Saccharomyces cerevisiae S288C: one gene and its partner. The protein of the gene in region 2 binds, or shares a complex with, the protein of the main gene of each other region. Each region holds a gene or a part of one and is shown on either strand. Other genes may lie near its edges. A codon is read from its position in the direction of its gene.

Region 1 (4,814 bases), 420 kb from region 2:
TGGGAACATATGTCCTAGTGTAGGGATGGGATGTGATAAGGATCGTGGGATGTTAAATTTATTCTCTTAGATGAAATTGCCTACACCTTCTGGACGGTTGATAATTAAGTTTTCAACTTTAGCGTGTTTCATTTTCAAAATATTGAAGAAGTGGCCTACCAGTGATATCCAACCGATGCGCGAGCAACACGCAAGCCCTTGGCTTGTGAGCAGCGTTTAGCTGACCGTATTACGCATTGATGGGCTGAGGAAAACATACAGGCAATCATGTCTTTTGATTTTGGCAACGTATGATCTTTTACCGTATATGGGGCAGTAACATATCATCGAAGTAAAAGCTAAAACAAAGAAAGTTAAAAAAAATAAACGTACAACATAGAAGCTTACCTTTCAAGGATATCTCAAAAGTATCAAATATATCACGGTGACTTCGGCCTGCGAAAGAAGATTTTCCTCGAACGGTGAAATACTGAGATGATCCATAAAGTAATGAGAGTGTTCTCGCTTGTATGGTTCGCTGACCTATGCCACCCGTGTTTCTCCATTGCGCAGAGGCTTCCATATTGACCACTACGTAGTGGCAACTTAAAACAATCAAAAATCGTTTTCTTCCTTAGGACTTGACTGCTTCGTCTTAAGATTATTGCCAGAAATTGAAGACAGAAAACATCAGTGAGAGGGGAGGGAGAGAGTGTCGCAACGTATGACCTCTTTTAAAGGCGTATGTCAACCAGCGGTTATCAATAGTTCCCTTGTGTTAAGGGAAGCTTGGAAGTTGTCACCAACACCTAGCAGACTTTTCTTCGACGTCCTCCCTAGTGGTTTATATGAAGAGAATGAGAAAATTTGCCACTCCAGTAATTTTTCCTTTTTTTTTTTTTTGGATTCGCCAAGGAGCGGGATAATTGGTATTCTGGGTAACGCTAAAAGGTAAGGTCAATATTAGCTATGAGTTTAGTCTCGAGGTGATTTAACCTTGGAAGAAGCAATCACGACGTTGGTTTGGGCTTATAAAAAGTTGTATGGCCAAATGACTAATGACAACAGTGGTATCTGGGTCCTAGGCTACGGATCTCTGATTTACAAGCCTCCGTCTCATTACACGCATAGAATACCGGCAATAATTCACGGTTTTGCTCGTCGGTTCTGGCAAAGTTCCACTGATCATAGGGGTACACCTGCAAACCCAGGAAGAGTGGCCACACTAATCCCGTATGAGGATATTATAAGGCAAACTGCCTTCTTGAAGAATGTGAATTTGTATAGTGAAAGTGCACCTATCCAGGATCCCGACGACTTAGTCACCATAGGGGTAGTGTATTATATACCACCAGAACATGCTCAAGAGGTTAGAGAGTATTTGAACGTAAGAGAACAAAACGGGTACACTCTACATGAGGTTGAGGTGCATCTAGAAACTAATCGGGAGCACGAGGCAGAATTGGGTGAAGCATTAGAACAGTTGCCTCGGCACAACAAATCGGGTAAACGGGTACTACTTACTTCGGTGTACATTGGTACAATAGATAATGAGGCCTTCGTCGGACCAGAGACCGTGGATGAAACTGCGAAAGTAATTGCCGTGTCGCATGGACCTAGTGGATCTAACTATGAATACCTTGCAAAACTGGAGCAAGCGCTAGCGCAAATGCCCATCATGAAAGAGCGAGGGCGTATTACCGATCATTATCTGACTGCTCTATTGGAGACTGTAAATAAATACAGGTGAATGAAATATGTATACATATCTTGATTAACTATGTAAGGTTCTCCTCTTGCTTTTCTACCATCTATATAGTGCGGCGGAAAATGGAAAAATGCGGTTAAGTACCTTTAATGCATGCACAATATATGCAAATTTTATGCAGTTCAAACAGGACGACAAGCAGAGACATAACGACACTATTTTTCCGCTAAAATGAATGAAGACCTGCCCAAGGAATATTTTGAACTAATAAGGAAGGCTCTTAACGAGAAAGAGGCAGAAAAAGCGCCCCTGAGTAGAAGAAGAAGAGTCAGAAGGAAGAACCAGCCCCTACCAGATGCCAAGAAGAAGTTTAAAACAGGGTTGAATGAATTGCCACGAGAAAGCGTTGTTACTGTAAACTTAGATTCTTCAGATGATGGCGTCGTTACGGTACCGACGGATGATAGTGTAGAGGAAATCCAGTCATCTGAAGAAGATTATGATTCGGAGGAATTTGAAGACGTGACAGATGGAAATGAGGTGGCCGGTGTAGAAGATATATCTGTTGAAATTAAGCCCTCTAGTAAAAGGAATAGTGATGCTAGAAGGACAAGCCGCAACGTTTGTTCTAATGAAGAACGGAAAAGGAGAAAATATTTCCACATGTTGTATCTAGTTTGCTTGATGGTTCATGGATTTATACGAAATGAATGGATTAACAGCAAGCGCTTGTCTAGAAAACTGAGCAACTTAGTTCCTGAGAAAGTGTTTGAGCTACTGCATCCTCAGAAAGATGAGGAACTCCCACTTAGGAGTACTAGGAAATTATTAGATGGGTTGAAGAAATGCATGGAGTTATGGCAAAAACACTGGAAGATCACTAAAAAATATGATAATGTGGGACTTTATATGAGAACCTGGAAAGAAATTGAAATGAGCGCCAATAACAAAAGAAAATTCAAGACGTTGAAAAGATCTGACTTTTTAAGGGCCGTCAGTAAAGGTCACGGAGATCCTGATATTTCAGTGCAAGGTTTCGTTGCGATGCTCAGGGCTTGTAATGTTAACGCACGACTTATCATGTCATGTCAACCGCCAGATTTTACCAATATGAAGATTGACACTTCTTTGAATGGAAACAATGCGTACAAAGATATGGTCAAGTATCCGATTTTTTGGTGTGAAGTGTGGGACAAATTCTCTAAGAAATGGATAACTGTTGACCCAGTAAATCTCAAAACCATTGAACAGGTCAGACTTCATTCCAAGTTGGCACCGAAAGGCGTGGCGTGCTGCGAAAGAAATATGTTGAGGTACGTGATTGCTTACGATCGGAAGTATGGCTGTAGAGATGTAACTCGAAGATATGCCCAATGGATGAACTCTAAAGTAAGAAAAAGAAGAATTACTAAAGATGACTTTGGTGAGAAATGGTTCAGAAAAGTGATAACAGCACTTCACCATAGAAAGAGAACCAAAATTGATGATTACGAAGATCAATATTTTTTTCAGAGAGATGAAAGTGAAGGCATACCAGATTCGGTGCAGGATTTGAAAAACCACCCATATTATGTTTTAGAACAAGATATCAAACAGACTCAAATTGTAAAGCCAGGATGTAAAGAGTGTGGATATTTAAAAGTACATGGAAAAGTTGGGAAGGTTTTGAAAGTTTATGCAAAAAGAGATATTGCGGATTTGAAAAGTGCTAGACAATGGTACATGAACGGCCGAATTTTAAAAACTGGTAGCAGGTGTAAAAAGGTGATAAAGAGGACAGTTGGAAGGCCTAAGGGCGAAGCAGAAGAAGAAGATGAAAGATTATATAGCTTTGAAGACACAGAATTATACATCCCTCCATTAGCCAGTGCGAGCGGTGAAATAACCAAGAATACATTTGGAAACATCGAAGTTTTTGCACCAACGATGATACCTGGTAACTGTTGTTTGGTTGAGAATCCTGTGGCAATTAAAGCTGCTAGGTTTTTGGGGGTGGAATTTGCACCTGCTGTAACTTCTTTTAAGTTTGAACGCGGCAGTACAGTTAAGCCAGTTTTAAGTGGCATTGTTGTTGCAAAGTGGCTCAGAGAAGCTATTGAAACCGCTATTGATGGAATAGAGTTTATTCAAGAGGATGATAATAGGAAGGAACATTTGCTTGGTGCTTTGGAGAGTTGGAATACTTTACTGCTAAAACTGCGTATTCGTAGCAAGCTGAACTCCACATATGGTAAAATTGCCGAGGAAGAACCTAACGTTACGAAGGAACAGAATATTGCGGACAATCACGATAATACGGAGACTTTTATGGGAGGTGGGTTCCTACCAGGTATAGCAAACCACGAAGCAAGGCCGTATAGTGAACCTTCAGAGCCAGAAGATAGTTTAGATTATGTTTCTGTTGACAAAGCGGAGGAAAGTGCTACAGACGACGATGTCGGGGAGGATTATTCGGATTTTATGAAAGAACTAGAGATGTCAGAGGAATCAGACTGAAATGAGGCTGAAACGGTTTGAATAATTAGGAAAGTATGTTTTTAATAAAGAAATTCTATGTTCAGGAATTTTGTATATACTTTGTAATGAATGAGAACTTAGTTGGCTTCAAACTTTTTCGTTTAACATGATTATTTTTCTTGTTCGACTAAGATATTCCCACATGGACAAGTGCCACAGATTAATATATGAATACAATAAAATAACTAGTGTAATTTGAAAATAAAAGTTGATGAGAGGGACAGGGACTTGAGTCCTATTCAAAGTGAAATATTTTAGTTATGAGTTTTCTTTCCAAACTTTCCCAAATACGAAAATCAACGACTGCATCAAAAGCCCAAGTGCAAGATCCATTACCCAAGAAGAATGACGAAGAGTATTCCTTGTTACCCAAAAATTACATAAGAGACGAAGATCCTGCAGTAAAAAGATTGAAGGAGCTGAGGCGGCAGGAACTGTTAAAGAATGGTGCTTTGGCTAAAAAAAGTGGTGTAAAACGGAAACGTGGCACCTCATCTGGATCTGAGAAAAAGAAAATAGAAAGGAATGACGATGATGAAGGTGGCCTTGGAATTAGGTTTAAGAGGTCTATTGGAGCAAGTCATGCGCCACTCAAGCCAGTTGTAAGGAA
Region 2 (3,929 bases):
GTGTACGTCCATAATGAAGTATAATAACAGAAAACTCTCGTTCAACCCTACCACAGTAAGTATCGCTGGAACGTTGCTTACGGTGTTCTTTCTCACAAGACTCGTGCTTTCGTTCTTCTCGATATCGCTATTCCAGCTGGTAACTTTCCAAGGAATCTTCAAGCCCTATGTTCCAGATTTTAAAAATACTCCCAGCGTAGAGTTCTACGACCTACGAAATTACCAAGGCAACAAAGATGGTTGGCAACAGGGTGACCGCATCTTGTTTTGCGTGCCACTGAGAGATGCTTCTGAGCATCTTCCCATGTTTTTTAACCATCTGAATACCATGACATATCCGCACAACCTGATTGATCTGTCGTTTTTGGTGAGTGACTCTTCGGATAACACCATGGGCGTGTTACTATCCAATCTACAGATGGCGCAATCGCAACAAGACAAGTCCAAAAGGTTTGGTAACATCGAAATCTATGAGAAGGACTTCGGCCAAATCATTGGTCAGTCCTTTTCTGATCGTCACGGGTTTGGCGCCCAGGGCCCCAGAAGAAAGCTGATGGCCAGGGCTCGTAATTGGCTTGGGTCCGTGGCCCTGAAACCATACCACTCCTGGGTTTACTGGAGAGACGTGGATGTCGAAACCATCCCCACTACCATCATGGAGGATCTAATGCATCACGACAAGGACGTCATTGTCCCCAACGTCTGGAGACCTTTACCAGACTGGCTGGGAAACATTCAACCCTACGATTTAAATTCATGGAAGGAATCAGAAGGGGGTCTTCAATTGGCGGATTCCCTAGACGAAGATGCTGTCATTGTGGAAGGGTACCCAGAGTACGCCACTTGGAGACCTCACCTGGCATACATGAGAGACCCAAACGGTAATCCAGAAGACGAAATGGAATTGGACGGTATTGGAGGGGTCTCGATTCTCGCGAAAGCTAAAGTATTCAGAACAGGCTCACACTTTCCTGCATTCTCCTTTGAAAAGCACGCAGAGACAGAAGCATTCGGTAGGCTCTCCCGCAGGATGAATTACAATGTCATCGGCTTGCCCCATTATGTCATCTGGCACATCTACGAACCTTCCAGCGACGACTTAAAGCACATGGCTTGGATGGCTGAAGAGGAGAAGCGGAAACTAGAAGAAGAGAGAATTCGCGAATTTTACAACAAGATCTGGGAGATTGGATTTGAAGATGTCAGAGACCAATGGAACGAAGAAAGAGATTCAATCTTAAAAAACATTGACTCCACTTTGAACAATAAAGTCACTGTAGACTGGTCTGAAGAGGGAGATGGCTCGGAGCTGGTGGACTCAAAGGGTGACTTTGTCTCACCAAACAACCAACAACAACAACAACAGCAACAACAACAACAACAGCAGCAGCAGCAACAGCAACAGCAACAACAGCTCGACGGCAACCCGCAGGGGAAACCTCTTGATGACAACGACAAGAACAAGAAAAAACATCCTAAAGAAGTTCCATTAGACTTCGACCCTGATAGAAACTAGGCTCGGTTTTTTAGTGACCTACATATGAAGTACGAATTCATATAGTTGTACATATATACCGATAATAATATCAAACCTCTATTCTTTGGTCTTTAACTTTTCTTTGAGTGAATTACAATACCATTGTTATATCAATCACTATACACGGCTCGGTGGCGAAATTGAAATTTTTTTATTTTCTTCTCTTTCATTATGGCTAGGCAAGAAATAGCGACAGCAAAACTTAAGAAAAAATGATAGAACAAGGTCCCATCCAGTATTGACTAGTAGCTAAAGCTAGAAGGTACACTTAGGTTTTTCTCCCTGTTTTTAAGTTTGAACCATTGATAAGGCCGTTCGCAGACAAGCTTGCTACCATCCAATTTTCCTTCCTCTAAAGACTTAATAAAGGCATCTAACTCCACCTTTAAATCACAGATCACACAAAGACAACATACAATAGAAAAATGGTTAGCTTAACCTTTAAAAATTTCAAGAAGGAAAAAGTTCCTTTAGATCTGGAACCTTCAAACACAATTTTAGAGACCAAGACCAAGCTTGCTCAATCCATTTCTTGTGAAGAATCTCAAATAAAACTGATCTACTCGGGTAAAGTGCTACAAGATTCCAAAACCGTATCGGAATGCGGGCTAAAAGATGGGGACCAAGTTGTCTTCATGGTTTCTCAAAAAAAGTCCACGAAGACCAAAGTAACAGAACCTCCAATTGCTCCTGAGAGCGCCACTACCCCCGGAAGAGAAAATTCTACAGAAGCATCCCCCAGTACGGATGCTTCTGCAGCTCCTGCAGCCACTGCTCCCGAAGGCTCACAACCGCAAGAAGAACAAACCGCCACTACAGAACGTACTGAATCTGCCTCTACACCGGGATTCGTGGTGGGAACCGAGAGGAACGAGACCATCGAGAGAATCATGGAAATGGGCTACCAAAGAGAGGAAGTCGAACGAGCCTTGAGAGCAGCCTTTAATAATCCAGATAGAGCGGTGGAATATCTACTGATGGGTATTCCAGAAAATCTGCGTCAACCGGAACCACAGCAACAAACAGCCGCCGCAGCGGAACAACCATCGACAGCCGCCACCACTGCGGAACAACCGGCTGAAGACGACTTATTTGCACAAGCTGCCCAAGGCGGTAATGCTTCATCCGGTGCGCTTGGCACAACTGGAGGAGCTACAGATGCTGCGCAAGGTGGACCTCCAGGTTCCATTGGCCTCACTGTAGAAGATTTACTATCGTTGAGACAGGTCGTTTCAGGTAACCCAGAAGCTTTAGCCCCATTGTTGGAAAACATAAGTGCTAGATATCCTCAATTACGTGAACATATCATGGCAAACCCAGAAGTGTTTGTGTCCATGTTGCTAGAAGCCGTGGGTGACAATATGCAAGATGTTATGGAAGGTGCGGATGATATGGTGGAAGGAGAGGATATAGAAGTTACAGGAGAGGCTGCTGCTGCAGGACTGGGACAAGGTGAAGGTGAAGGTTCTTTCCAAGTTGACTATACCCCCGAAGACGATCAAGCTATTTCGCGCCTCTGTGAATTGGGCTTTGAAAGAGATCTTGTTATCCAGGTGTATTTTGCGTGCGATAAAAACGAAGAAGCTGCAGCAAATATTCTATTCAGCGATCATGCCGACTGAGATTGTAGTAATGTTATGGCTTGAAGTATCTTCACTTATTCTCGACAATGTTGCATGATTTTTGAGCCAAGGGAAAAAAAAAGCTTACGTAGAAATCAATAACGTATGTGTATTTATATATGCTAGAAGGGAAAGAAAAGAAAACAGAGAGATGGTAATATTAATCTCAATAATAATAATAATAATAATAATAACAATAATAATAATAATAACAACAACAAATAATGATTATACTGCTTTTAGCGCATATATACAGTTTTGTTAAAGAGTTTCAAAATTCTTGTATACCTGGTACTTTTGCCCATCGGGGACAGGTGCATTACCAGGTCGGGAAGCTAACCCAGTAGCTATTCCAACGCCGGCCGCTGCGTCCAATTCCAATGGATTATCGCTCAAGAACAGTACCTCGCTAGCCTTCGCACCGATATCCCGCAAGATGTTGGCGTAAGACTGTGTTTCGGTTTTCTTTCCAGAAGTGTTGATGTCGAAATAACCATCTATATAAGAATTCAAATCCAACGAATCATGCGCAGGCGCGTTGGGATCCTGAACATACCCGAACAGCAATTTCTGTGCCTTTACAGATCCACTAGAGTAGATAAACACACGCTTCTTCCTCTTGATAAAGTCAATAGCATCTGCATAAACGGGCGCCTTAATCTGCCCAGATTCGTATCCGTGAGCCCAGACGTAGCCTTGCAACTGTTTCAAGATTGGATCCTTCACATCCTTGGCCACCAACTCCAAAATATGCGCCTGCAACTGCTCCT

Evidence for each region.
Region 1: the proteins of RAD23 (region 2) and RAD4 are in contact, whole or in part, in a crystal structure (PDB 2QSF), measured with the Saccharomyces cerevisiae proteins. Residues at the interface, in NP_010877.3 of Saccharomyces cerevisiae: Leu265 (codon at 2,755), Arg266 (codon at 2,758), Gln267 (codon at 2,761), Val269 (codon at 2,767), Ser270 (codon at 2,770), Gly271 (codon at 2,773), Asn272 (codon at 2,776), Pro273 (codon at 2,779), Glu274 (codon at 2,782), Ala275 (codon at 2,785), Leu276 (codon at 2,788), Ala277 (codon at 2,791), Pro278 (codon at 2,794), Leu280 (codon at 2,800), Glu281 (codon at 2,803), Ser284 (codon at 2,812), Leu290 (codon at 2,830), Arg291 (codon at 2,833), Ile294 (codon at 2,842), Met295 (codon at 2,845), Ala296 (codon at 2,848), Pro298 (codon at 2,854), Glu299 (codon at 2,857), Phe301 (codon at 2,863), Val302 (codon at 2,866), Leu305 (codon at 2,875), Leu306 (codon at 2,878), Gly347 (codon at 3,001), Ser348 (codon at 3,004), Phe349 (codon at 3,007); in NP_011089.4 of Saccharomyces cerevisiae: Lys138 (codon at 2,330), Arg139 (codon at 2,333), Tyr142 (codon at 2,342), Phe143 (codon at 2,345), Met145 (codon at 2,351), Leu146 (codon at 2,354), Tyr147 (codon at 2,357), Val149 (codon at 2,363), Cys150 (codon at 2,366), Leu151 (codon at 2,369), Val153 (codon at 2,375), His154 (codon at 2,378), Phe156 (codon at 2,384), Ile157 (codon at 2,387), Arg158 (codon at 2,390), Trp161 (codon at 2,399), Gly224 (codon at 2,588), Leu225 (codon at 2,591), Arg228 (codon at 2,600), Ile233 (codon at 2,615), Glu234 (codon at 2,618), Ser236 (codon at 2,624), Lys240 (codon at 2,636), Arg241 (codon at 2,639), Lys242 (codon at 2,642), Phe243 (codon at 2,645), Lys244 (codon at 2,648), Thr245 (codon at 2,651), Leu246 (codon at 2,654), Lys247 (codon at 2,657).

Annotation. Positions count from the first base shown.
Region 1 is NC_001137.3:499,999-504,812, reverse strand, and holds RAD4 (Rad4p), read left to right. Parts: upstream 1-1,918; coding exon 1,919-4,183; downstream 4,184-4,814. Other genes in the region: GCG1 (gamma-glutamylcyclotransferase), read left to right, coding at 1,031-1,729; SPT2 (Spt2p), read left to right, coding at 4,465-4,814. UniProt on the Saccharomyces cerevisiae protein: Involved in nucleotide excision repair of DNA damaged with UV light, bulky adducts, or cross-linking agents.
Region 2 is NC_001137.3:80,637-84,565, reverse strand, and holds RAD23 (Rad23p), read left to right. Parts: upstream 1-1,962; coding exon 1,963-3,159; downstream 3,160-3,929. Other genes in the region: ANP1 (Anp1p), read left to right, coding at 14-1,516; putative acireductone synthase UTR4, read right to left, coding at 3,421-3,929. UniProt on the Saccharomyces cerevisiae protein: Plays a central role both in proteasomal degradation of misfolded proteins and DNA repair.